6 linked regions of the Canis lupus familiaris genome follow. The protein of the gene in region 1 purifies or fractionates together with the protein of each later gene. This does not show direct contact. Links are inferred from orthologs where the notes say so. Each region holds a gene or a part of one and is shown in the gene's direction. Other genes may lie near its edges.

Region 1 (3,500 bases):
TCTCAGATGGACCAGAGGGACAATATTAGCATCATTACTAGGTACCTTCGTAAATCTTCTGGGTCTTTGAGTTAAAATAAAAGCAACGGTTTGATCAGTGGAAGGTACCTTGCAGTATGTGTCCATCCTAAAACTGTTGTTTTCATTGCCAAATGAATTAGTCCAGAAGGGCCTATTTGAGGAACATACAGTCTTGATTGTTGCATCATGACAGAGTAAGCCATGATGCCAAGAGTAGTAGAGAGCACCCATTCTTCCAATAGATAGGACTCATTGGACCACATGAAGTGGTGAGCTGTGGACTTGGACAGGATCTGAACTTTGAGGGGCCTACTTTGTTTTCATGATCTCATTCTTTGGTTTCTAAAGTATAACATCAAGTACATTTTATTTGGTAACAGTCAGAACATGTTAATAAAATGAACACCAGTCCTGAGTTCCTCTATTGACAAATGTCCATGTGGATATTAAGGAAGAAGTGAAATGCTTTTTGGTTCTTAATTCTAATCATATACACCAGAACCACCCAGCCAAATAACAGATAATACTTTCCTCTTTTTTCCTTTCTTTTGGACCCTAGGCATTGATGGTCCAGCTGCCTTCTTGAAGCCAGATGCTCAAGATTTGGAAACCAAACTTCATGTTGTCTCAGTAGACTCTTCTGCTGTGGAAGAGGATACCGAAGGAAGTGTTGATGGAGAAGGCACTTTGGATACTGTGTCCAAGCCAGATCTCCAGGAGATTCTCCAAAAACATGGTGAGGATTGGTAATGATTGTAAGGCAGTTAATCATCTTAGCCATGTATAATCTTTTCTTTTCCTTTCTTTCATTGTCAGTTAACAATCTAGATGATTCAAAATTGCTTGAAATGTGGCTTATGGCTTTACAGAGGTGAGACAGATTAGGCATCTTTGACATCTGAGAATTGACCATTGTCAACTATGGTAGTATTTACTCTGTTGCCTGAGAAAAATAAGATAATTACATATAAATTATCAGCAACATTAGTTACTATATGTGGCTATTTCTTTTTGACATTTTTAGTTCCCACTCCCTTCTTTTGACAAAGTTGCCAGTCAACACCCCTACTTGGCCTCCATTTCACAGTTTATATTGATCTAGTGATAAGGGGAAAGATAAGTAGTGGCTGAACAGAAACACACATTATATCAAAATATACTTAAGCTAATACTTTTTTCACTAGAGCTTACTTTCTGCCAGTTGGAGTTATCATTTCCACAGATATTCCTATGTATTTTAGGGATCTCTTGTAGTTTTCTTTCCTTCTTAGAAAAATAATTTTGGGACACCTGAGTGGCTCAGTGGTTGAGCGTCTGCCTTTGGCTCAGGGTGTGATCCCTGGGTGCGGGGATCAATTCTCGCATCAGGCTTCCCGCAGGGAGCCTGCTTCTCCCTCTGTCTATGTCTCTGCCTCTCTCTCTGTGTCTCTCATGAATAAATAAGTAAAATATTTTTTAAAAAGAAAAATAATTTTATAGTGGGAAGGAATTAAGTGTTCCCTTTTCAGATGAGAAGACTGAAATCCAGTCATGAATAAGTATTTATTGGGTGCCTACTTTGTAATAGGCTGGCATTGTAGGTCCTGGGATGTGTGAATCGGGAGATTCTACCACAGAATGCAGAACAGATATACTTTCAAACAAATTCACTAGGTACTGAGGCTGTACTATATATTGGGGAGTTATAGGCACTTAGGCTACAGTGGGTTCCAGCCCTCCTGAAGTGTTTACTCTAATGGAAGAATCACATACTTAAATAGACGAGAGTGTCAAGAGAGGTACCTAATCTAGAGCTGAAGGTTTGGAAAGCTTTCCAGAGAAAGTGATATCCAAGCTAGAGCCTGATACAGGAGGAGGAGCTCACCAGTTCAGAATGGCTGGAGCACACAGTGTGAGGGGATGAGGTAAAAAGATGGATTAGAGAGGGGAGCCTGGAGGGATAAGTAGGCTCTGATTATATAGTCAAATATAGGCCATACTGGAAATTTGGACTTTACTTGAAGAGTAACAGGAACCTATGATTAAGATCTACAATGTAGCAGTTTGGTAGATTATGTCCCTTAAGTGGGTCCGATTTGTTTTTTCTACAAGTTTGGGAGAAATCTTTGATTTCCATCTTAAGACATATATTCACATAAGCTGAGTTCTTTGTATAAAAATGGCATTTGCAAACAGTACTAAGTGAAAATATCCACATGATTGTGAAGTTTTATGCCTTTTTGCTACAAAAGCACAGAAGGTTAACATTTTTTTCTGTTAACATAGAAAGCAAAAGAAAAAAAAAACAAAGAATTTTTTAAATAATAGCTTTATTATAGTTTAAAGTGGACAGTGGGTGTAGGAGGTGAAGATGGCAACAGAGTAGGAGGACCCTGGATTCACCTCGCCCTACGAGTACAACTACATAACTAGCAAATCATCCTGAATACCCTGTTGACCTGAAGACTGGCAGAACATACTCCACAACTAAAGGTAGAGAAGAGGCCGCATTGAAGAAGGCAGGAAGCATGGAGACGTGGTTTGGGAGAAAAGTGGATCAGGGCTGCTGTGGTAGGGAGGGAGGTGCAGTCATGGAGAAGGGCAAGAGACAGACTCACGCAGGGGAGTGCACATATAGTACTAGAGTCCCTATAGCAATTGGCTTGGAAAGTGAGAGGGGCTGGATTTCATGAGTTCTTGCGAGCATCGGGGCTTAAAGCTTGGTGTTCTGAAGGTCAGTGGGCTTTGCTCAAGGAGAGCTTGGAGGGCACCACGCAGTTCCTAGAGAAAAGGCAGGCAAACGACCTTTGCACATACAGCGTAGAAACGATCTGAAGAGTGCCCAGGGCACACAGTGGGAAGGTTAGTTGCTCATCTTGGAGCATTTCCCAGAGAGAGAGCATTCATGGAGACACCCCTCCAGGAACAAAGAAACTGGCAGGTGCCATTTCCCTCCCCTGCTCCTTAGCATAGGCACATAGCCACCTGTGAGAACCAGTGCAACACTGACACTCACTACCTAACTTGCTTACACCAAGCCCCACTCCACCCTTGGATCTGCTCACCCTTCCTAGTTATGCATGCCTCAGTCCCTGAAGTGGGTAGTCCCCTCTCCAAATCCCTCCCCCAGGCCAAACCCCTGCCCATGTTTTGTCTCCTGACCTGGAAGCGTGAGGCCCCAGTTCCATTGGCAGTGGTAACAGGTCTCATTTCACAAACAGACCAGAGCAGACCTAATTAAAACATGCCACATTCAGGCCAGGGACTAAACACTGCCAATAACAGGCAAAGAGAACCTCTGCAGATGACTCTCCTGAAGGATAAAGCAGACAGGACACAATTGCAGAGCACATGCAGCACATATTGGAGACATTCCTGGAAACACCAGGCCTTGAGAAACGGGACACTATACTGCAGGGCACTGTAACATATCTTCTTGATAAAGCCATTACCTTCAAGAACAGAAGACACAGCTGACTTTTCTAACACAGAGAAACAGG
Region 2 (4,159 bases), on another chromosome or scaffold:
GTAGACTTCCCTTGAAGAGTGGCAAAATATCCCACTCCAAAATAAGCTACTTTGACATAAGGATTATTTTGAGCTAACGGTACCTAAAAAATAGCAGATGCAAAAGACTAATCTTCTTTTCTTCCTGAAAACGGGGATTAAAAACTCCCATGTGAAAGATACCCTCCCTGTACCATAAGAAATGGCATTCTTACCATCAAGGAGACGCTGAAATTGAAGAGTCTATACAAACGGAACTTATTGACATAATTATTTTTTTTTCTCCTCACCATAGTTTATAGTTGCTTTCCCACAGTCGCGTCTCTTTGTTCAGCCAAATATAAAAGCATGCATGCACGCAGGTGTCATTTCTTTGGGTCTTTTCCTTAGGAAAAGGAACACGTATTTGTAGGCTTTTCTTCCTTAATCTGTCTTAGGTTAGTCTAATTCTCAGGCCGAGCTGAAAAACCCTAAGAGGGTAAAATTTTGTCTCCCTTACATTCCCTAAAGCTAGAAAGTCCCATTCACTCCTTTAAATAGTGGATGGCCAATTTCTGAATTTCTACTTCTCTAACCTTTTTCTCTTTCACTCAATCCCCTAGTAATGATATTTTCATTTTAATGGGCAGGTCTTAAAAATAATAATAATAATAATGGGCAGGTCTTGCACCTGAAACTAAACTAACTAAACAAAACCCGACGCCAAGGGAACAGTATCCTCCTTAAGAACGGTAACATCCATCATTAGTTCCTTGAAACCATTTTCTTGAAGCAAATACGATTCCTACCTAATGCTGATAAGAAAAAAGGGTGGGCACTTGGGCAAAAGAAGTACTTTCATAACGAACGAAGCACAAATCTATGGCAGGGCATAATATTTGGGGAAAAGCTGCCAGGTCCGAAGTCTAAACAGAGAAGCAATCAGTGCTCATTTTTCTTGCCCAATTTAGTTGGCCTATTAACGCCTTGAAAAAGACTACTTCTCACATCCTGTGTCTTCTAGCCCAGAAGCCTGGGAAGGAAAGGAGAGAGAGAGATGACGCGCAGGCCCGCCCAAGTCCTCCCTGCGCGTACTCTGCACGAGTATCTGGCCCAAGAGCAAATCCCCGTTCTCGGTTCTTGCAACATTCAGGGCCTTTTCGTTGCCTGGAATCCGGGCGCCCCCGCCCGCCGCCATCGACAACTTCGGCACCGGGAGCAGAAGTTGACGCAGGACGTCCTAAGGGCGTCCCCGGCCTCGTCCAATCAGAGCCCAAGAAGGAAGGGAGGGTGGGCCGGAGCTCCTGACGCACAACCATTTGGGGCCCGCCTCCGCGCGTGTCACGTGACTCCAGTCCACGCCTCCCGTCCGCCCCTGCGGAGGCCCCACGAGGCTCCGCCCCCCCGGGTAGAGCTCCATGATTGGTCACTGCTCGCGCGGTCTCCTGGGTGACGGGAACGCGTTAGCCCTCCTGGAGCTGACTCTCCGCGCCTGCGCACTTTCCGGATCGCGCGGCCGCTCTAGCCTTGAGATGAAGGTAAATAACTTACAAACCCCGGGGCCGGCGCGGCGGGGAAACGCGACCACAGGCGCTGGGCCCGCTGAGCGTCACATTGAGGAGAGGGGGCCTGTGTCCCCCTCCCTCCTCCCGAGGGGGGCTAGGAATGGCGAAGAGAGCTGGGTGACCTGGGGCGGGGGGGGGGGGGCGAAGTTGAAGGAAGGAGGAGGGGAACGCGGAGAGGGGAGGCCTCATTTCTGGGACCGCGAACGGAGTTGAAGCGGGGCGGGCGGAGGGAACCCGGGCACGGCCCGAAAGGAGCAGACCGGGTCGGAAAAGACCCCGAACTACCCACGGCGGGGAGACCGGTATGCTGGGAAGCTCGGCCCCCGCAAGCAGCTGAACCCCTGGCAAGCCGCGCAACCGCTCAGCGTTTAAAAAGAGTGAAGAGCTTCCGAAAGAAGAATGTCAGAGTGTATCGCCGGTGACTAATGTACAAATCACGCAGTGGCTCGTGGATGTAATTCGCGGGGAAATCTGCGCCTGCACACGCGGGTCCTGCTGGAGAGCATCATCCTCTGCACGCACAGTTCCTGCGCTTGGGCTTCGGGCGAACCCCATCCCCGGCCCCTGGGCTACAGCGCCCTCGCCCCCCTGCTTTACCACTGCCTTAGCCCTCCGCCCCGATCTGGCAAAGAAATGGATAGTTCAATTTTAAATTGAAGATTCCTTGTGGCTCTTAGCGTGGAAATTGGAATTGACAGGCTGGTAATCGATCATAACTTCACATTTCTAAAGCCTTTCACGATTTCTGAAGTTGTCAGCACGGAGGAGGCATTCCTCTTGGTTCGCAACTGAAAATTTTGTGCTTGAGGCAACTTAAGCGACTTGTTTTAAGCCCTACAGCTGATCATAAGTTAAAAAGTACAATTCAGACCTTGGTTTTCTGGTGTTGAAGCTAGCGCTTTTTCAGTCTACTGTATATGGAGCACTATACTGTATATGAAGAAAACTAAGATGTACGATCACAGCCAGAAGAGGTCTACCCGGAAGCTAGTCAAATTGAAGTTTAAGGATCCCTCACTTGCAGGAAGGGGTTCCAGGGTCACTTGGTCACAAAGGTCACACCTTTTTTTCCCAAGGTGTTTTCAAGCTCCACGAAACGTGGATGGACTTGTAATTATAATACACTTCTGTTTCCAATAGAGGTGGATTTCATCTCCTTAACATACCAAACGACTAATGATTGGTATTTAATTTTAAAATTATATATATACATTTATTTATATTTTTTAAGACAGAGAGTGAGAACATGGGTGCAAAGGGAGAGGAGGAAAGAATCTCAAGCACTTTCCCAGCCGAGTGCAGGGCTCAATTTCAGGACCCTCAGACCATGATCTGAGCAGAAATCAGGAGCCTGACACCTTGGTATTTAATTTTAAGCATTGAATGAGTTTTGTATGGCCACTCTGATTGTCAAGCCACCTGTAGTAGTATGTGAACTTCATATGCCTAGCTGTGGTCTATGATTTAACCTAATTGTTTATAATTTAACCTAATATTAAAATTAAATTCTCTTATTCAAGCTCTGTATTCGTAATTGTTTTGGATCAGTATTGTTTGATATAAATGTACTGTGAGCGAATGTAATTTAAAATTTTTAGTGGCCATCTTAAAATGTTTTAAAACCAACAGGGATGCATAGGTGGCTCAGGGCAGATCCCAGGATCTTGGGCTTGAGTCCCCCATCAGGCTCCTCCTGGCAGGGAGCCTGCTTCTCCTGCCTATTTCTTGCCTGTCTCTCATGAATAAATACATAAAATCTTTAAAAATAAATAAATAAAATAAACAGGTAAGATTAATTTAAATAATATATTTTATTTTATCCAGTATATTAAAAATATTATCTCAATATGTAATCAACAAAAAATTATCAATGAGATAGTTTACATTTTTCATAGTCCTTGAAATGGGTATCTATTCTATATTTACAACACTTCTAATTTGGACTACCTACATTTCAAGCCCTCAATAAAATCAAGTCCACCTGTGTTTTGTGGCTTTTATATTGGGTACCCCAGTTCTTGACTGTATGAGTGAAAAGAAAGGCTTTTGAGTTGACCATCAGTCAACCACCACCCAGTAGTCAAAGTGAGCACTTAATGATTAAGTAAATATAACTAGTGGGTAAAGGTAGAAAATAATTTTGAATGAAGGACAGTTTGTATTTTTATCATGGTTAAGTTTTTTTTTTTTTTTTTTGAGATTTTATTTGTTTATTCATGAGAGACACACACAGAGAGGCAGAGACACAGGTAGATGGAAAGGGAGAAGTAGGCTCCACACAGGAAGCCCGATGTGGGACTTCATCCCAGGACCCCAGGATCATGCCCTGAACCAAAGGCAGATGCTCAACCGCTGAGCCACCCAGGTGTCCCTCAAAAACATTTTAAACCAAAACTTTATAATAAATGCTTGCCTATGTGTTGAGGTCCATACTTTAACAACCAGATTGTAGAAGTTCGTTGGTTGGTTGGTTGATCTGATTATTTTGTCTGTTACATTGTTGACTTTTTCTGGATAAGCTCTAACAGTAAGCCTTTAACATCTGAATCTTACTGTTTTCATGATCATGTTTGATATCTTTGACCAACCCTTAATTGTATGTTTTGAAAATATAAAAATATTTATCTTTTTAGCGT
Region 3 (4,179 bases), on another chromosome or scaffold:
TATCTGAACGGAATGGGGGTTAAGTTTGGAAATAATTTCTCAGGGAGACCCGATTTGTACATTTGGCGAGGCACAAATGGCAGAGAGGGTAGGATCATCACAGGACATAAAATGGCCTTGGAGGCAGAAAGCATATTGGCTTGCTTAGAGTGAGGGCACCACAGTAAAGGCATTTCCCTATTGATGGAAAATCTCATTTAGCTGTTTTTTTTTTTTTTTTTAATCTATTTATGAGAGACACACACACAGAGACATAGGCAGAGGGAGAACCAGGCTCCCTGCAGGGACCCCAGGACCAGACCTGAGCCAAAGGCAGACTCAACCATGGAGCCGCCTGAGGGCCCCTAAGCTGGGGGTTCAGATGTGACGGGAAAGGCACCTGACCCTAGGCAATCCTTGACTGTGCTGGGTTAGTCAACAGACTCACTTCAAAGGATCTGAACAGTACTTAATCTGAAATGTGGAAAGACTACATGGGAGAATTAGCAGTCGCTGCTGCTGCATCAAGTGCCAGCCAGATTATACAACAGCAGTAGCCGCAGAATACGGTAAAAAAAAGAAAAAAGAAAAAAAAAGAAAAAAGAAATCAGACAGAAATGAAAAGATGAGCTAGGCTAAATAATTGCATGGGCCTTTCTGCCCTGTGCCCAAATTGTGGGGCTTTGTAACTCTCCAAACATTCCAAAAGGACAAGGGACAACGAGGAAAAGAATTAAGGTAGAAAAAGAAGAGAACAGAGAACAGTAGGCCCCAGGCGAGAAAATACCAAGCACACTTAATGGACTCAAAAACCGGCAGGCTGGGCTTCAGTGGCAATTACAAGCCGCAAAGGCCCAAAGCTCATACACATTCCTTTTACATGAACCACCGGGCTGCAGTCATAGCTTATAAGCTGTTAAAAAGTCCTAAAGCAAGCAGAATGAACACCCATCTCCTGCCCCCGAAATGCCAGGGGGTTCCCGGTCCCCAAAGGCGTAGAGGGAAGGCCCGCGCTTTGCTTCAGCCGGCGCCAGCCCCAGCCCCAGCCCCAGCCCATCGAACACATGAATGACCTTTCCCTGCAACACGCTGGGGCTCTGGGGCTCACCCCAGAGAACCCCCAACCGTGTGACCCTTGTGACCTCATCTCACCGGGCGCCCGCTCCCGAGCGGATACCGACCCCGCAGGCGAGCTGCACTGTGGCGGTCGGAGGTGCGCCGCGTCCTCCGAGCTCCTGCAGGGCGGACAGCGGCGGCGACGAGGCGCGGCGCCGAGGCTCCCCCACCGGGCCCAGCCGCTCAGCCCCGCGCAGGACCAGCGCGCAGCTGCAGCTCCCCCAGGCCCCCCGCCCCCGCCCCACGTCGTCCGCGCAGGCGCACCACGTCCGGCGCCGCGAGGCCGAAGCCGGAAGTGTCCCTCGGCGCCCCGGATGCGCCGGGCGGCTGTGGTTGCCAGGGCGACGGGCGCTCCCCGGGGCGGCTGGTCCTCGCGCCTGGAGAACTATTAGTCCAGGTTTCCTTTGGCGGGCCCGGACGGTTGGGCTCGTCCTCTCGGAGTTCCCAGAATGTTCTTTTACCTGAGCAAGAAAGTGAGTTTTCCCCGCGGGGGCCCTCGCTTCCCCTTGGCTCTGGCGACCCGCGGGCGACTCCCGCACCCTGCGGGCGGGATCTGGCGTCCTGATGCCGGCTTCGCCTTTTCCCGCCTTCCACCCTCCTGCGTCGTCCAGCCTCGGACGGTCCCGACCCCGGATCGTTGTCGGCGGAGCCCTCAGCCCTCCGGCCCCGCTCTCCCATCCCTGCCCCCGCCAGCCCTGCAGGTCGCTGCGTGGCTCTCTCTCTCTTCCTCCACCTATTGTGTTGTCCAGGTGACGTAAAGTCTTCGGAGTCTCATCCGGAGAGAAAAGTAATTATAAGAGGGTAGCCCAGGTGTTGGCGTGTGGAAAGGGAATATGGACCGATGGTCTGGGTTTATACCTCCTCCTTCCCTTCTTTCCCGTAAAAAATTCATCAGGTGCCCCCCCCCCCCATGTTCCTCCGCAATCAATGCCCTAACTCTGTGCACTTCCCTCTCTCTTTCCCAAATGGTAGGGCGCCAGGCAGGGCCGAGGGATCGTGCCATGGCCCTTTTCAGAACAGCTTACGCTTTTTTTTCTTCTGGGGGGCAGTGGAGGGTGGGGTGGGGGTGGGGCGGTGGATTTTCTTCAGCCTTCACCTGTAACTCGCTAACCAGCTCCTTCGCGGAAAGCTGTGCAAGTGGCTGTGGTTGCTTTTCAGATTGCCATTCCCAATAACGTGAAGCTGAAATGTGTGTCTTGGAACAAGGACCAAGGATTCATAGCATGTGGTGGTGAAGACGGATTACTGAAAGTTTTGAAATTAGAGACCCAGACAGGTAAATGAATGCAAGCCCAAGTGTTTGAACCTGGTGGAAAATTGGCTAGTTATCATTTGTTCAGTGAGATTTGCTCACGGAGTTTGTCACTATGCGATTTTAATTCTTTTGAAACGAGAAAAAAAAACAAAGCTCCCAAACGTTTAGTGGTGTTTTGGCAGTAAGTTAGTTCAGAGAAAGTAAAATGTAAAAATCAGATGGCTTTTTCTGAAGTTACTGATGGAAAAGAATGAAGAATGAGAACTAAATCACTATGTTGCCTTTTGCTCTGTCTGTTTACTGTGCCCTATTATTTGGAGTCTTAATAAAAATGATGTGAATTCGCATTTTGGTAAGGTCACAGAATCTCACATTTTGTCAGATTATTTGCAGGCCTGGATCATCCTTTCTGGTTCTCAGGTGTGTTAATAATTATTCACCTAGTTCCCAAGAACAGAAAACGAGACTTCTAAAAGTATTTTTTATCAATACATTTCTTGTGATTGCAGCTTGATTTCTCTTTTTTTTAGTTCTTTGGAATCATAGCAAACAGTTTCACATTTCCTTTAGCATCTGTAGTGTTGCTCTAGAATGGAGAGCTAAACAATCCTCCATCTACGTTGGAGATCTAGATGAGATTGGAGTGGGGATCTCAGCTCTGCCATGCTGAATGACTTTCAGAAAGTTGGTGAATGTCTTTGGGTTTAAGTGCACTCTTCTGTAAGATAAAGGGCCTAACTAAATTCCATTTTGGATTCAAAAGCTCTACACTGCAGCCCCAGAGCCTTTGCACTTGCTATTTTTGAGCCTGGACTACCCTCCCTTTCTCCATCTTTTCCCCATCTTTTCCCCACCTCACTTGGCTATTTCCAATTTATTCATCAGTCTCAGTTTATTTATTTTTAAATTTTTTTAAAATTTTTATTTATTTATGATAGTCACAGAGAGAAAGAGAGAGGCAGAGACACAGGCAGAGGGAGAAGCAGGCTCCATGCACCGGGAGCCTGATGTGGGATTCGATCCCGGGTCTCCAGGATCGCGCCCTGGGCCAAAGGCAGGCGCCAAACCGCTGCGCCACCCAGGGATCCCTCAGTCTCAGTTTAAACATAATTTCTTTAGAAAGTCTTCCCTAGTTCTCCCTCCCTCTAATCTAAATTAATCTCCCTCTGTTACTATCTCTTTATTATGCCTTTACTTCCTCAATTTTTAATTTTACATATATGCATATATATGCATATATATTTATGGGAGGAGATGAATGTGTGTTAAATATCTATTCCCTCAGTAGACTGCAAACTCTCTGAAGGGAGAGGCCTTAATATTTTGTGTATCATTTTATATTCAGAAGCCTCCACAGTGCATGGTACAATGTAGACATTCAGTGAATGAACTAATGAATAAAAGATTCTGCAAAATATAGTAAAAACCAATTTCCAAAGTCTTTGCTTTCTGATCCCTCTTATGCTTTAGAATTTTCAGTCTATATGTCATAAATATTTCTATTTGTGATCTTTTAGGAAAGAATAAGTAGCAATAATAATTACTAATATATTTAACATACTGGGTAAACAATGCTTTTTTAAAAATATATTTTGCTTTATATTGTCAGAATAATATCTTTATAAGGGGGCACATATTATTGTCCATGTTTCTACCATGAGAAATATAGATCAGAATGAGGCATACTTAAAAAAAACTTTCTAATATCATCCAGGAATAGAAACTCCTTTCAAAATAAGCAAGAAATGTCAAGTCTTATAATTAATAAGTCTTATTTAATATATTTGCCATACTATATCTTTTTTTCTAGATGATGCAAAATTGAGGGG
Region 4 (3,500 bases), on another chromosome or scaffold:
TAATCAAGTTCAGCTTTCCTACAAGTGCCACGGCTTTGTTTTCTTGATTTTCTAACAAAGGAACCCTGTTGCCTTCTACCATCTGAGAGCCAGAGGTAGTAGATAGGCTTTGGTTTTCACGAATTGAATCCTAGCTTTTCCTATGTATTTCTGTGAATCAGTTTTGCTTCTGCTTGGTGTGAAATTTTTGCTTGAAGGTCAGCTATAGAAATGCAAATTGTCTTTATTATGACTGGAATGAATAATCAAGGTTTATGCACTAGGTAAACCTAGTGGACTAGGTGACTAGACTTTTTCTTACTATTTTGATGGCAGTGTTTTATTCTTTTCCATCACACCCTGCATCATTCAGGTCAAATTTCTTGATTCTAATTATACATTTTTAACCCTGTTAGAGATCTCTTCCACATGGTCTTAAGGGGCATTTGTAAGTTGCAGTGTGTTATGATGGTAGGTTTGTGATGCTTCTCTTTCCTAATTCTATGTACAGTCATTTCTTATTGTTCAAAAGCAACAGGACTTAGCTGTTTTCTTCCCTGCAGGTTTCAGCCCTGACTAGATCCGAGTTTCATCATGGCCCTCTACTTTGACCACCCAATAGAAGCCCCAGACTCTGTCGAGTCTCCTTCCCACATCCATTGGCACCCTGTTCATCCATTCCTGGCGGTTGCCTCCGTCAGCAGGATTGCAGGAGGCAGCGTGGATATATATCTGGAACAAGTGAGTCCTAGGAAGCCATGTTTCTGACTTCTGGGGCTTCTGGCTCTTATGTTCATTTTGTTCTCCCGTGTGTGCATGTGCATTGTGTGGTGTGTGTCATGTGGGGAGTATGTACATGAGTATAGAGTATTGCAGTATGGGTTGTGTGCGTGTTGTGTGTGCCTTGTGTGTGGGGTACATCCATGCATGTGTGTGATGTATATGTCATGTGTGCCATGGAGAGGATATATTGTATGTGTGTGCCTGTGTGTGGTGTGTAGTATGTGGTATATGTGTGGTGTGTGTCATGTGTGGTAGGGTACGTGTGTGGTATGTGGAGCTTGTGGTATGTAATGTGTATAGAGTGAGGGGTATGTGATGTATGTAGTGCTGTGTATGTGTCCTGTGTGTTGTATGTGGTATTTGTGGTGTATGTGTTATGTATCATACGTGTGTTATGTGGTGTGTATGTGTGTGATATATGTGCATATGGTCTGTGTTATGTGGTGTCTGTGGTAGGTAGTATGTGCCATGTATGTGGGATGTGGTATGTGTCGGGTAGTATATGTGGTAATATGATGTGTGTGTCAGGTATGATATGTGGTATGTGTGTGGTATATGGTGTGGTGGTGTGTATATGTGTGGTGTGTATATGTGTGGTGTGGGGGACGTGTGTGATATGTGATGTGTGTGGTATGTAGTATGCATATGTGGGGGTATGTGGTGTGCGTGGTATGTGTGTCATATGGTAAGTATGTATATAATGGGTATGTGGTGAGTACGTATGTGGTGGGTATGTGGTATGTACATGTGTGGTGTGGACAGTGGTATGTGTCACATGTGGTATAGTATGTACGTATGTGGTGTTCGTGTGTTGTGTGATGTATATGTGTGTGGTGTGTATGTAGCATGTGGTACATGTGGTTTGTTTGTATGTGATGTGTCTGTCACATGATTTTGGTGTGTATATGTTGTGTCATGTGTCTGGTATGTGACTGTGTGGTATACATGTGGTATGTGGTTGTGTGGCATATGGTATGTCTTTCATGTGTATTTGTTGTGTGTGTGTGCCATGTGTGGCATCTGGTGTATGACATACATGTGTTGTGTGTGGTATATGATAGGTGTAGTGTGTATAGTATGTGGTATGTGGTGCTTGTATGTGTGAGTAGATGGGGTGTGTGTTTCATGTGTGGTATGTGGTGTAATGTGGTATGTGCATGTTGTGTGGTGTCTATGGTACTTGATGTATGTGTGGTGTGAGTGGTATATGTTCTGTATGTCATGTGAGGGAAATGTGTGGTATGTGTGTGGTATGTAGTGTGTATGCATGTGGTATGTGTGTCGTGTGATGGGTATGTGATGTGTGTGGTGTTTATGTATGCTACAATTTGTAGTATGTGATGGGTGCATCCTGTTGTATATGGTGTCTATGCGGGGGCTGTGATGTGTGTGACATGTCATATGTATGGTATGTGGTGTATGTGCTGTGTGTTATATGTGTGTACACTAAGGGGTATGTGATGTGTGTGGTATATATCATGTGTGTCCGCATGTGGTGTATGTGTATATTGCATACGTGTGTGTGGTCTGTATGTATGGTGTATGTAGTACGTGGTATGTGGTGCATGTGTGGTATGAGGTGTGTATGTTATGTGGTACATGTGTAGGTATGTGGTGTGTGTGGTGCATGTGTGGTATATAGTGTGTGTTGCATATGTGGCGTGTGGTGTGTATATATGTGGACTGAGTGTGGTGTGTCTGCATGTGTGGTATGTGGTATATATATATGTGGTGTGTATGGTATGTAATACGTGGTATACGTGTATACGTGTGGTGTGAATGTGGTACGTGTGGTGCATGTGTGGTACTTGGTGCATGTGTGTGTTATGTGTATCACTGCTTCCTGAGGTAGAGTCTCAGTATTATGAGTCCTATAAAAAAAAAAAAAAAAAAGAGTGCTGTGATGTAGATAATTGTTTCAGCCCTGCTCCTTAGCCTTGGGGCCATATTTAGGGACGTAAAATAGATTCCACGATCAGTCCCCGCCCCTAACCAGAAACAGCCCCTCTGTGCTGTCTGTGCACCCTGGTCCAGTCCTGTTGGCCACACTGGCCATTGGAAACTCCTGGCATCCTGTGGCTGCCGTAACAAATTACCACAAGGCGGGTAGCTTAAGACACAAGTATGGCCTTGCCATTCTGGAAGCCAGAAGTCTGAAGTAAGTCAGGGCCACGCGGTCTCTGAAGGCCCTTGGGGAGGACGGGTGCCAGGCCTTGTCCTGGATTCTTGTGGCAGCCGGCTCTCCTCAGAAGTCCTCAGCTGGTACCTGCATCACCCCATGGCCTCTGTGGTCCCATGTGTCTCCCCTGTGTGTCCCTCTCCCTTTCCTCTCCTGATAAGGACGCGAGCCATCGGGTTTGGGCCCATCCTAATGATCTCTTCTTAACCTGATCCCCTACAGAGACTCTTTCCGAGTAGGGTCAGGTCACTGGCACCAGGTTAGGACTTCAACACATCTTTTTCCTTTTTTCTTTTTTTTTTTTTCTTTAAGATTTATTTATGTACTGGGGAGGGGAGAATGAGCAGGAGGGGATGAGGGAGAGGGAGAGGGAATCCCCACCAGCCTCTCCACTGAGCGTGGAGCCCAATGCAAGGCTTGATCTCACTACCCTGAGATCCTGACCTGAGCCAAAACCAAGAATTGGACCCCTTTTTAAAAAAAAAAAGATTTTATTTATTTATTCATGAGAGACACAGAGATGCAGGGACACAGGCAGAGGGAGAAGTAGGCTCCCTGT
Region 5 (4,218 bases), on another chromosome or scaffold:
CAGGATCGAGTCCCGCGTCGGGCTCCCTGCATGGAGCCTGCTTCTCCCTCTGCCTGTGTCTCTATGTCTATCATGAATAAATAAATAAAATCTTAAAAAAAAAATACTGGATAACCCAGGGGGCTCAGCAGTTTAGCGCTGCCTTTGGCCCAGGGCCTGATCCTGGAGACCCAGGATTGAGTCCTACATTGGGCTTCCTGCATGGAGCCTGCTTCTCTCTGTGTGTGTGTGTCTCATGAATAAATAAAATCTTAAAAAAAAAAACAAAAACAAAAAAAAAAAAACTGGGGCATGCATGAATACAGAGCTCTGAGGTCTGTTTGTTTAAATCTTTTAATCTACAACTCCCGTTTTTATCTCCTTGATAAAGATAACTACATAATCTTAGGCTGATTTGTGGAGAGGAAGGGAAACGAGCAGTATTAGACCAAAACATTCCTGCTAAAAGGTTACGAAAGGGCTTCTGGGTGGCTCAGCCGGTTAGGCGCCTGCCCGGGGTCCTGGGATCCGGCCCTATCAGCAGGGAGCCTGTAATCTCCCTCCCCCTCTGCCTGTCACTCCCCTGCTTGTGCATTCTCTCTCTAATAAGTAAATAAAAATCTTAATTTAAAAAAAAAGAAAAAAAAGCTTATGAAAGTAATCCTGCTCCCCCTGCGTAAATATTGATTTGGTGAGAGGTCAGCCCAGCTATGCATGTGCCTGAGCTGCCTGTTAGAGGCCTGAGCTGTATGTCAGAGGCCTGAGCCGCACGTCGGAGGCCTGAGCCGCACGTCGGAGGCCACCTCTCAACGCTGTTCGCCAGGACCTCATCCTTGTCCACGACACCCTAACGAACCTGTGGATCTCATTTAGTTCTGAAAAGATGGTGGTAGCCTTCAGAAGAACCCTTCAAAAGAAGCAACAGTAAAATTAAGATTCCTCACACAAATCGCTCACGGCTTCGCACGCGGGCACATTTTTAAAAACGCATTGGGAGACGCCACCAGTGGCTGAATCTGTATATTCCAGGCACTTGCAAGCATGTGATTAATCAGCAGGTATTCGCTGAAGCATCCTGGGACCTGCGCAAATCCACCTCGCTCCCACTCTCACATAATCCTATGAAAACTCGTATCCCCCGCTTTACAAAGAGGGGAAAGTTCTCAGAGAGAAGACCAATACCAAAACGGAGATTTTTTTTTTTTTTAAATAAAAAAGAACATCAAAGCCAAAGCTCTAAAACCAACAAACCCAGATTAACGCTTTTTCGAATTCTGTCAGCTAAAAGTCCGCCCGCCCGGAGAAACCTCGCGATATTCCTCGAACTACCACTCCCAGCGTGCACAGCGGCTCCGGCCCGCCCGCCGATCCCCTGGAGTCTGGAGGGGCCCCGGCATGCCTCGGGGCGCGAAAGGCAGCCTGGGAGCCGTAGTTCCGCTGGACGCCTACCGGTATTGCCAGCGCGGCAGTGGCGGCTCTCTCGGTTCCGTCCAGCCGGGTTCTGTAAGGCGAGCTGAGGCGGAGAAAAGGGCGCGGAACTGGAAGCGGGTGAGTCAGGCGCTGGCTACGCGATAAAGGGAGGCGGCACCGCGGCGCGGGGCTGAGTTGGGTAAGTGCGGCCCCTGCAGTCTCTTCAGGGAGAAGGCGAGGAGAGGGCGAGGAGGAGCCCGCGCCCGGTCCGTGCACCCGTTCTCGCCCTCGTACCCCGCCGCCATCTCCACCATGCAGTCCCGGGAAGAGGCTCCGCGCCCCCGCCGCCTGGCCAGTCCCCGCGGCGGCAGGCGGCCCAAGAGGATCTCCAAGCCCTCGGTCTCGGCTTTCTTCACGGGCCCGGAGGAGCTGAAGGACGCGGCTCACTCCGCAGCCCTCCTGGCGCAGCTCAAGTCCTTCTACGACGCGCGGCTGCTGTGCGACGTGACCATCGAGGTGGTGACGCCCGGCAGCGGGCCCGGCACCGGCCGCCTCTTCCCCTGCAACCGGAACGTGCTGGCGGCCGCGTGTCCCTACTTCAAGAGCATGTTCACGGGCGGCATGTACGAGAGCCACCAGGCGAACGTGACCATGCACGACGTGGACGCCGAGTCCTTCGAGGTGCTGGTCGACTACTGCTACACGGGCCGCGTGTCGCTGAGCGAGGCCAACGTGCAGCGCCTGTACGCGGCCTCCGACATGCTGCAGCTCGAGTACGTGCGGGAGGCCTGCGCCTCCTTCCTGGCCCGCCGCCTCGACCTGGCCAACTGCACCGCCATCCTCAAGTTCGCCGACGCCTTCGACCATCATAAGCTGCGATCCCAGGCCCAGTCCTTCATAGCCCACAATTTCAGGCAGCTCAGCCGGATGGGCTCAGTAAGGGAGGAGAGCCTGGCGGATCTGAGCTTGGCCCAGCTGCTGTCCATCCTGCGCCTGGATAGTCTAGACATCGAGAGCGAGCGGACCGTGTGTCACGTGGCCGTGCAGTGGCTGGAGGCGGCTCCCAAGGAGCGCGGACCCAGCGCTGCGGAAGTCTTCAAGTGTGTCCGCTGGACACACTTCAGAGAAGAGGATCAGGATTACCTGGAGGGGCTGCTGACCAAGCCCATTGTGAAAAAGTACTGTCTGGACCTTATCGAGGGGGCCCTGCAGATGCGCTATGGTGACAAGCTGTGCAAGGCTCTGGTGCCCAAACCAGATAGCAGCAGCAGCTGTGTTGTGCCCACAGCAGAAAACCCACCCCAGAGGCTGGGTATGTGTGCCAAGGAGATGGTGATCTTCTTTGGACATCCCCGAGATCCCTTTCTGTGCTACGACCCATACTCAGGGGACATTTACACCATGCCATCCCCTTTAACCAGCTTGGCTCACACCAAGACTGTCACTTCCTCAGCTGTCTGCGTCTCTCCAGACCATGACATCTACCTGGCCGCGCAGCCCAGGAAGGACCTCTGGGTGTACAAGCCAGCCCAGAATAGTTGGCAGCAGCTGGCCGACCGCCTGCTGTGCCGGGAGGGCATGGATGTGGCCTACCTCAATGGCTACATCTACATTTTGGGTGGGCGAGACCCCATTACCGGTGTTAAACTGAAGGAAGTGGAGTGCTACAGTGTCCAGAGAAACCAGTGGGCACTGGTGGCTCCTGTACCCCATTCCTTCTATTCGTTTGAACTAATAGTGGTTCAGAACTATCTTTATGCTGTGAACAGTAAGCGCATGCTCTACTATGACCCGGGCCACAATACATGGCTGAACTGTGCTTCTCTTAAACGTAGTGACTTTCAGGAAGCCTGTGTCTTCAATGATGAGATCTACTGTATCTGCGACATCCCGGTCATGAAGGTCTACAACCCAGCCAGGGGAGAATGGAGGCGGATTAGTAATATCCCCTTGGACTCAGAGACCCACAACTACCAGATTGTCAATCATGGCCAAAAGTTGCTCCTCATTACTTCTACCACCCCTCAGTGGAAAAAAAACCGGGTGACTGTTTATGAATACGATACTAGGGAAGACCAGTGGATTAATATAGGTACCATGTTAGGTCTTTTGCAGTTTGACTCTGGCTTTATTTGCCTCTGTGCTCGTGTTTATCCTTCCTGCCTTGAACCTGGACAGAGTTTTATCACTGAGGAAGATGATGCACGGAGTGAGTCTAGTACTGAATGGGACTTAGATGGATTCAGTGAGCTGGACTCGGAGTCAGGAAGTTCAAGTTCTTTTTCCGATGATGAAGTCTGGGTGCAGGTGGCACCTCAGGGAAATGCACAGGATCATCAGGGTTCTTTGTAAATATTTTGAAGCACTAAGATGTTTCTACTTCTATGGAATGTATCTTTAAAAGATATCCCTTCCTTTTCATGAAAAAAAAAATGTTGATTAGGACTGCAGATTTGGTTTAGAAAGGGTAACATTTGAATTACTAATGTAATGTTACAAAGTTAAACAGTCCATGAAATCAACCTATATGATAATTTATTATGCTAAAAGTCAAGATTAAAATATGCAAAAACAAACTATGTAACTGATTAGAATGCTTGGTGGTTTCTTGGTTGTTCGAGTATTTGTTGCACCAGTGGATTGTTTTGGTTAGTTTACACTGTTTATATTTTGATTATCTACGTTTGTCTTCTGTTAACGTTTTAATTCAACTTAGTGCCACAAGGAATTTAACTTTTTAATTTTTATAGTAGAAAATTGAACTAGAAATTGTTGGTAGGGTTTTGAAGGTTGTATTTTCTTTTAGAATAATGAAAGTAGTAGATTTCC
Region 6 (3,500 bases), on another chromosome or scaffold:
GTTTGTGCTCAATATTAAGTATGTTGTTGAAATGGGAAAGTGTTTTGAAGTAGAGAACACCATGAGATTTTTATACCAAAGTTATAACATGATCATATTGAAAATGGTCTCTTTCTTTTTCTTTTTTTTTTTTTGAGAATGGTCTTTTTCTTAATGTGCTCTTCTTCTTTTAAAAGTACCTTGACTCTTTAAACAGTGGTGATTAGTTCCTCCTTAGTGTCTGTAATGTTCACTCTATTTTTGGTTTTCTGAAACTAGGAAACTAAGAAATTTCAGGGTAAAAATTATTAATATTCAAAACATCGGTATGCCATTTTGGGAGATTGGTTAAGATCAAATTAAAGATTGTTACTGGAAAAAAAAAGATTAAAAAAAAAAGATTGTTACTGGAAAAATTTAAAAAGTGATTATGTATAGATTTCCTGTGGGCTTTTTGGGACTGGTACCTTTTCCTTTATTGATTGGTAAAACTGATTTGTAGAACTATTTTGTACACACTGTTATTAGTGTGTATTCTAGATCTTAGCCATAGAAATTTAATTCTGGTAGGTTTTTTTCTCTTATTTTATTCAATATTGTACTAGAGGTTCTAAATATTACAATAGACAAAAACAAAAGGAATCTATTAGAAAGGCAGCTATAAAGCTGTTATTTGCAATAGACCAGATTAAGTAGAAATTTTGATGGAATGTTAAAAAAAGCCTACCAAAATTAAGTGATTAGAGCAAAGGTATAGGGTACGTGATCGTTTTTTCATATTTCAGGGAAGACTTATGTGAATTAATAACTGACACTTCCAGACATTAATTAAGTACTTAGTAAATGAAGATGATTATTACCAGTATTTGAATAATTGGTGTTGTAGTCTTTTGACCCAAATCAACTTAACATACTAAGTTTTTAAGTATCACATGACAAATATTTTTTTGAAAGAAAATATTAAATGATCTGAAGAGTAAATTATAGTTTTATTTTTAGAAACAGGAGAAAAGAGGCTGGATTTAAGAGCTCTAAGAGCAGGTACAACTCTTGATCTCCTTAATTTCCTTGGGAGAGAGTAGTCACTAGCTCTAAAAAAACTAAATACCTATATATTTCATTTTCCTTGCAAAAAAACTTTAAAGATTGCTAATTCATTACTTTAGAAAATGAGATTTTTGAATGACTTAAAGGTGGATTAGATCTAATTCTTTTCTCTCTTATGTAGGTCCATATACTTTTGTTCAGCAACATCTCATGATTGGCACAGATCCACGAACAATTCTTAAAGATTTACTACCAGAAACAATTCCTCCACCTGAATTGGATGATATGACACTGTGGCAGATTGTTATTAATATCCTTTCAGAACCACCAAAAAGGAAGAAAAGAAAAGATATTAATACAATTGAAGATGCTGTGAAATTACTGCAAGAGTGCAAAAAAATAATAGTTCTAACTGGAGCTGGGGTATGTAAGATGTAATAAAACACTAGTAAAAGGGTGAGGTGGTGTGTGATTTTTTTCTTAGCCTTTTCCAAGTCAGAAACATTTTTTGGTTAGAAGAATTTATCCTAACATGATAATGGGAATTTGCATTTGGAAACCATGAAAAGTGCTGCAGCAGTTGTTAAATTGGTTCATTTCTTTAAAAACTTCTCCAATAAACTTAGGAAGTATTTGTTTGTTAACAGTACATGGAGTTAGGAAAGGGTTTTTTACTTATAGTATTCTGCTACAGCTCCTAAAGGAGATGCAGGTAATTCGGTTTGCATAAACTGGATCAGGGTCTGCTGGAAAAATTGGGTCTTTGTTCCATCTTTCTGGGGGAAACCAGGAACCTAATTAGTGTTCACAAGTAAATAACTTAAGTTGGGAAGGCAACAGGTTCCTGCCTCCTCTCCATTTTTTTTTTTTTTTTAAATTTTATTTATTTACTCATGAGAGACACAGGCAGAGGGAGAAGCAGGCTCCATGCAGGGAGCCCGACGTGGGACTCGATCCCAGGTCTCCAGCATCCCACCCTGGGCTGAAGGCAGGCGCTAAATCGCTGAGCCACCCGGGCTGCCCCCCCCCCTTATTTTATTTTATTTTATTTTATTTTATTTTATTTTATTTTATTTTATTTTATTTTATTTTTTATTATATTTTATATTTTATATTTTATTTTATTGTTTATTTTTTAAAGGTTTTATTTATTTATTCATGAGAGACCCAGAGAAGAGAGAGAGAGAGAGGCAGAGACACAGGCAGAGGGAGAAGCAGGCTCCATGCAGGGAGCCTGATGTGGGACTCGATCCTGGGTCTCTCCAGGATCAGGCCCTGGGCTGAAGGTAGCGCTAAACCTCTGAGCTGCCAGGGCTGCTCACCCCCCCCCCCCCCCATTTTAATTTAAGGTGATGTGAATATGGTGGCTTGATGTGTGGGCATTGGCCTCACTTTGGGTTTGTACTTAGCTACCTAGGGCCATTGTGTGTTGAATACAGAATATGTTACGTGTTAGTGACCTAGGGTGATTGTTGGAGTAAAATTCAGTCCTGCATTTTGCCATTTTGAGTTAAGGCAGAGTGCTATTTAATCATAAATGATTGTCAAGAATAGTTCTGCCTTGTTCACAGATGTGATTTAGTCAAATTAGTTTTATCTGAGGTCAGAGTGGAGTCAACTGATAAAATTGTGAAACAATAAGTTAGTTGACTTCTGAAATTCCTATTTGAAATGTCAGTTAAGAATTAAAATACTAAAAAAAAAGAAAATTAAAATACTGGGGACGTCTGGGTGGCTCAGCGTTCCAGCATCTACCTTTGGCTCACGGCTCCTGGAGTTTGGGGATCGGGTCCCACATTGGGCTCCCTGCATGGAGCCTCCTGCTTCTCCCTCTGCCTGAGTCTCTGCCTCTCTGTGTCTCTCATGAATAAATAAATAGAATATTAAAAAAATTATTGTACAATAGAGTTTTTAAAGAAAATACAGGAATTTAATATTCTTGAAGTAGTAGAACCCTGACCAGATGACATTTTTGTTTTTGCAAATATGTGACTGATAGAGAATCTTGCCTGCTTTGTAGTTAAAATAATTTGAAATGATTTATTTACTCTGTTCTCAAATTGCTGTTGCTTTTTTTTTTAATTTTTTTTATTTATGATAGTCACAGAGAGAGAGAGGCAGAGACACAGGCAGAGGGAGAAGCAGGCTCCATGCACCGGGAGCCCGATGTGGGATTCCAGGATCGCGCCCTGGGCCAAAGGCAGGCGCCAAACCGCTGCGCCACCCAGGGATCCCTCAAATTGCAGTTGCTTTCATTCATTGATTAAATGCTTAAAGGTTTAAAATTAGCCAGAAAAAAAATTAGCCTGACTTAAAATTCCTTACCCCATTATGATTGGAAAATATGGTGGATTTCATTATACTGCTTTTTGGTGTTTGTTATATTTGAATTTGAAATTAAAGTAGGGAAAAAAAAAATAAATTGGAGTAGGGCAGTATTTTTGTTCCCTCAAGTTTTAAAGCAAAATATTTTT

Evidence for each region.
Region 2: the proteins of TULP3 (region 1) and WDR19 purify together in Homo sapiens (affinity purification with mass spectrometry; 5 studies listed by BioGRID and IntAct, counting the BioPlex papers as one, with this or other methods). This does not show direct contact. The link is inferred for Canis lupus familiaris from reciprocal best matches to the Homo sapiens genes TULP3 and WDR19.
Region 3: the proteins of TULP3 (region 1) and WDR35 purify together in Homo sapiens (affinity purification with mass spectrometry; 5 studies listed by BioGRID and IntAct, counting the BioPlex papers as one, with this or other methods). This does not show direct contact. The link is inferred for Canis lupus familiaris from reciprocal best matches to the Homo sapiens genes TULP3 and WDR35.
Region 4: the proteins of TULP3 (region 1) and IFT140 purify together in Homo sapiens (affinity purification with mass spectrometry; 5 studies listed by BioGRID and IntAct, counting the BioPlex papers as one, with this or other methods). This does not show direct contact. The link is inferred for Canis lupus familiaris from reciprocal best matches to the Homo sapiens genes TULP3 and IFT140.
Region 5: the proteins of TULP3 (region 1) and KBTBD7 purify together in Homo sapiens (affinity purification with mass spectrometry; 3 studies listed by BioGRID and IntAct, counting the BioPlex papers as one, with this or other methods). This does not show direct contact. The link is inferred for Canis lupus familiaris from reciprocal best matches to the Homo sapiens genes TULP3 and KBTBD7.
Region 6: the proteins of TULP3 (region 1) and SIRT1 purify together in Homo sapiens (affinity purification with mass spectrometry; 5 studies listed by BioGRID and IntAct, counting the BioPlex papers as one, with this or other methods). This does not show direct contact. The link is inferred for Canis lupus familiaris from reciprocal best matches to the Homo sapiens genes TULP3 and SIRT1.

The regions. Positions count from the first base shown.
Region 1 is NC_049248.1:4,204,786-4,208,285, forward strand, and holds part of TULP3 (tubby-related protein 3), read left to right. Parts: intron 1-580; coding exon 581-757; intron 758-3,500. UniProt on the Homo sapiens protein: Negative regulator of the Shh signaling transduction pathway: recruited to primary cilia via association with the IFT complex A (IFT-A) and is required for recruitment of G protein-coupled receptor GPR161 to cilia, a promoter of PKA-dependent basal repression machinery in Shh signaling.
Region 2 is NC_049224.1:73,797,448-73,801,606, reverse strand, and holds the start of WDR19 (WD repeat-containing protein 19), read left to right. Parts: upstream 1-1,359; 5' UTR 1,360-1,376; coding exon 1,377-1,496; intron 1,497-4,156; coding exon 4,157-4,159. UniProt on the Homo sapiens protein: As component of the IFT complex A (IFT-A), a complex required for retrograde ciliary transport and entry into cilia of G protein-coupled receptors (GPCRs), it is involved in cilia function and/or assembly.
Region 3 is NC_049238.1:15,071,694-15,075,872, reverse strand, and holds the start of WDR35 (WD repeat-containing protein 35), read left to right. Parts: upstream 1-1,379; 5' UTR 1,380-1,544; coding exon 1,545-1,568; intron 1,569-2,253; coding exon 2,254-2,371; intron 2,372-4,160; coding exon 4,161-4,179. UniProt on the Homo sapiens protein: As a component of the IFT complex A (IFT-A), a complex required for retrograde ciliary transport and entry into cilia of G protein-coupled receptors (GPCRs), it is involved in ciliogenesis and ciliary protein trafficking.
Region 4 is NC_049227.1:39,705,970-39,709,469, forward strand, and holds part of IFT140 (intraflagellar transport protein 140 homolog), read left to right. Parts: intron 1-542; 5' UTR 543-573; coding exon 574-720; intron 721-3,500. UniProt on the Homo sapiens protein: Component of the IFT complex A (IFT-A), a complex required for retrograde ciliary transport and entry into cilia of G protein-coupled receptors (GPCRs).
Region 5 is NC_049243.1:9,372,580-9,376,797, forward strand, and holds the start of KBTBD7 (kelch repeat and BTB domain-containing protein 7), read left to right. Parts: upstream 1-1,418; 5' UTR 1,419-1,701; coding exon 1,702-3,741; 3' UTR 3,742-4,218. UniProt on the Homo sapiens protein: As part of the CUL3(KBTBD6/7) E3 ubiquitin ligase complex functions as a substrate adapter for the RAC1 guanine exchange factor (GEF) TIAM1, mediating its 'Lys-48' ubiquitination and proteasomal degradation.
Region 6 is NC_049225.1:19,904,939-19,908,438, forward strand, and holds part of SIRT1 (NAD-dependent protein deacetylase sirtuin-1), read left to right. Parts: intron 1-1,207; coding exon 1,208-1,449; intron 1,450-3,500. UniProt on the Homo sapiens protein: NAD-dependent protein deacetylase that links transcriptional regulation directly to intracellular energetics and participates in the coordination of several separated cellular functions such as cell cycle, response to DNA damage, metabolism, apoptosis and autophagy.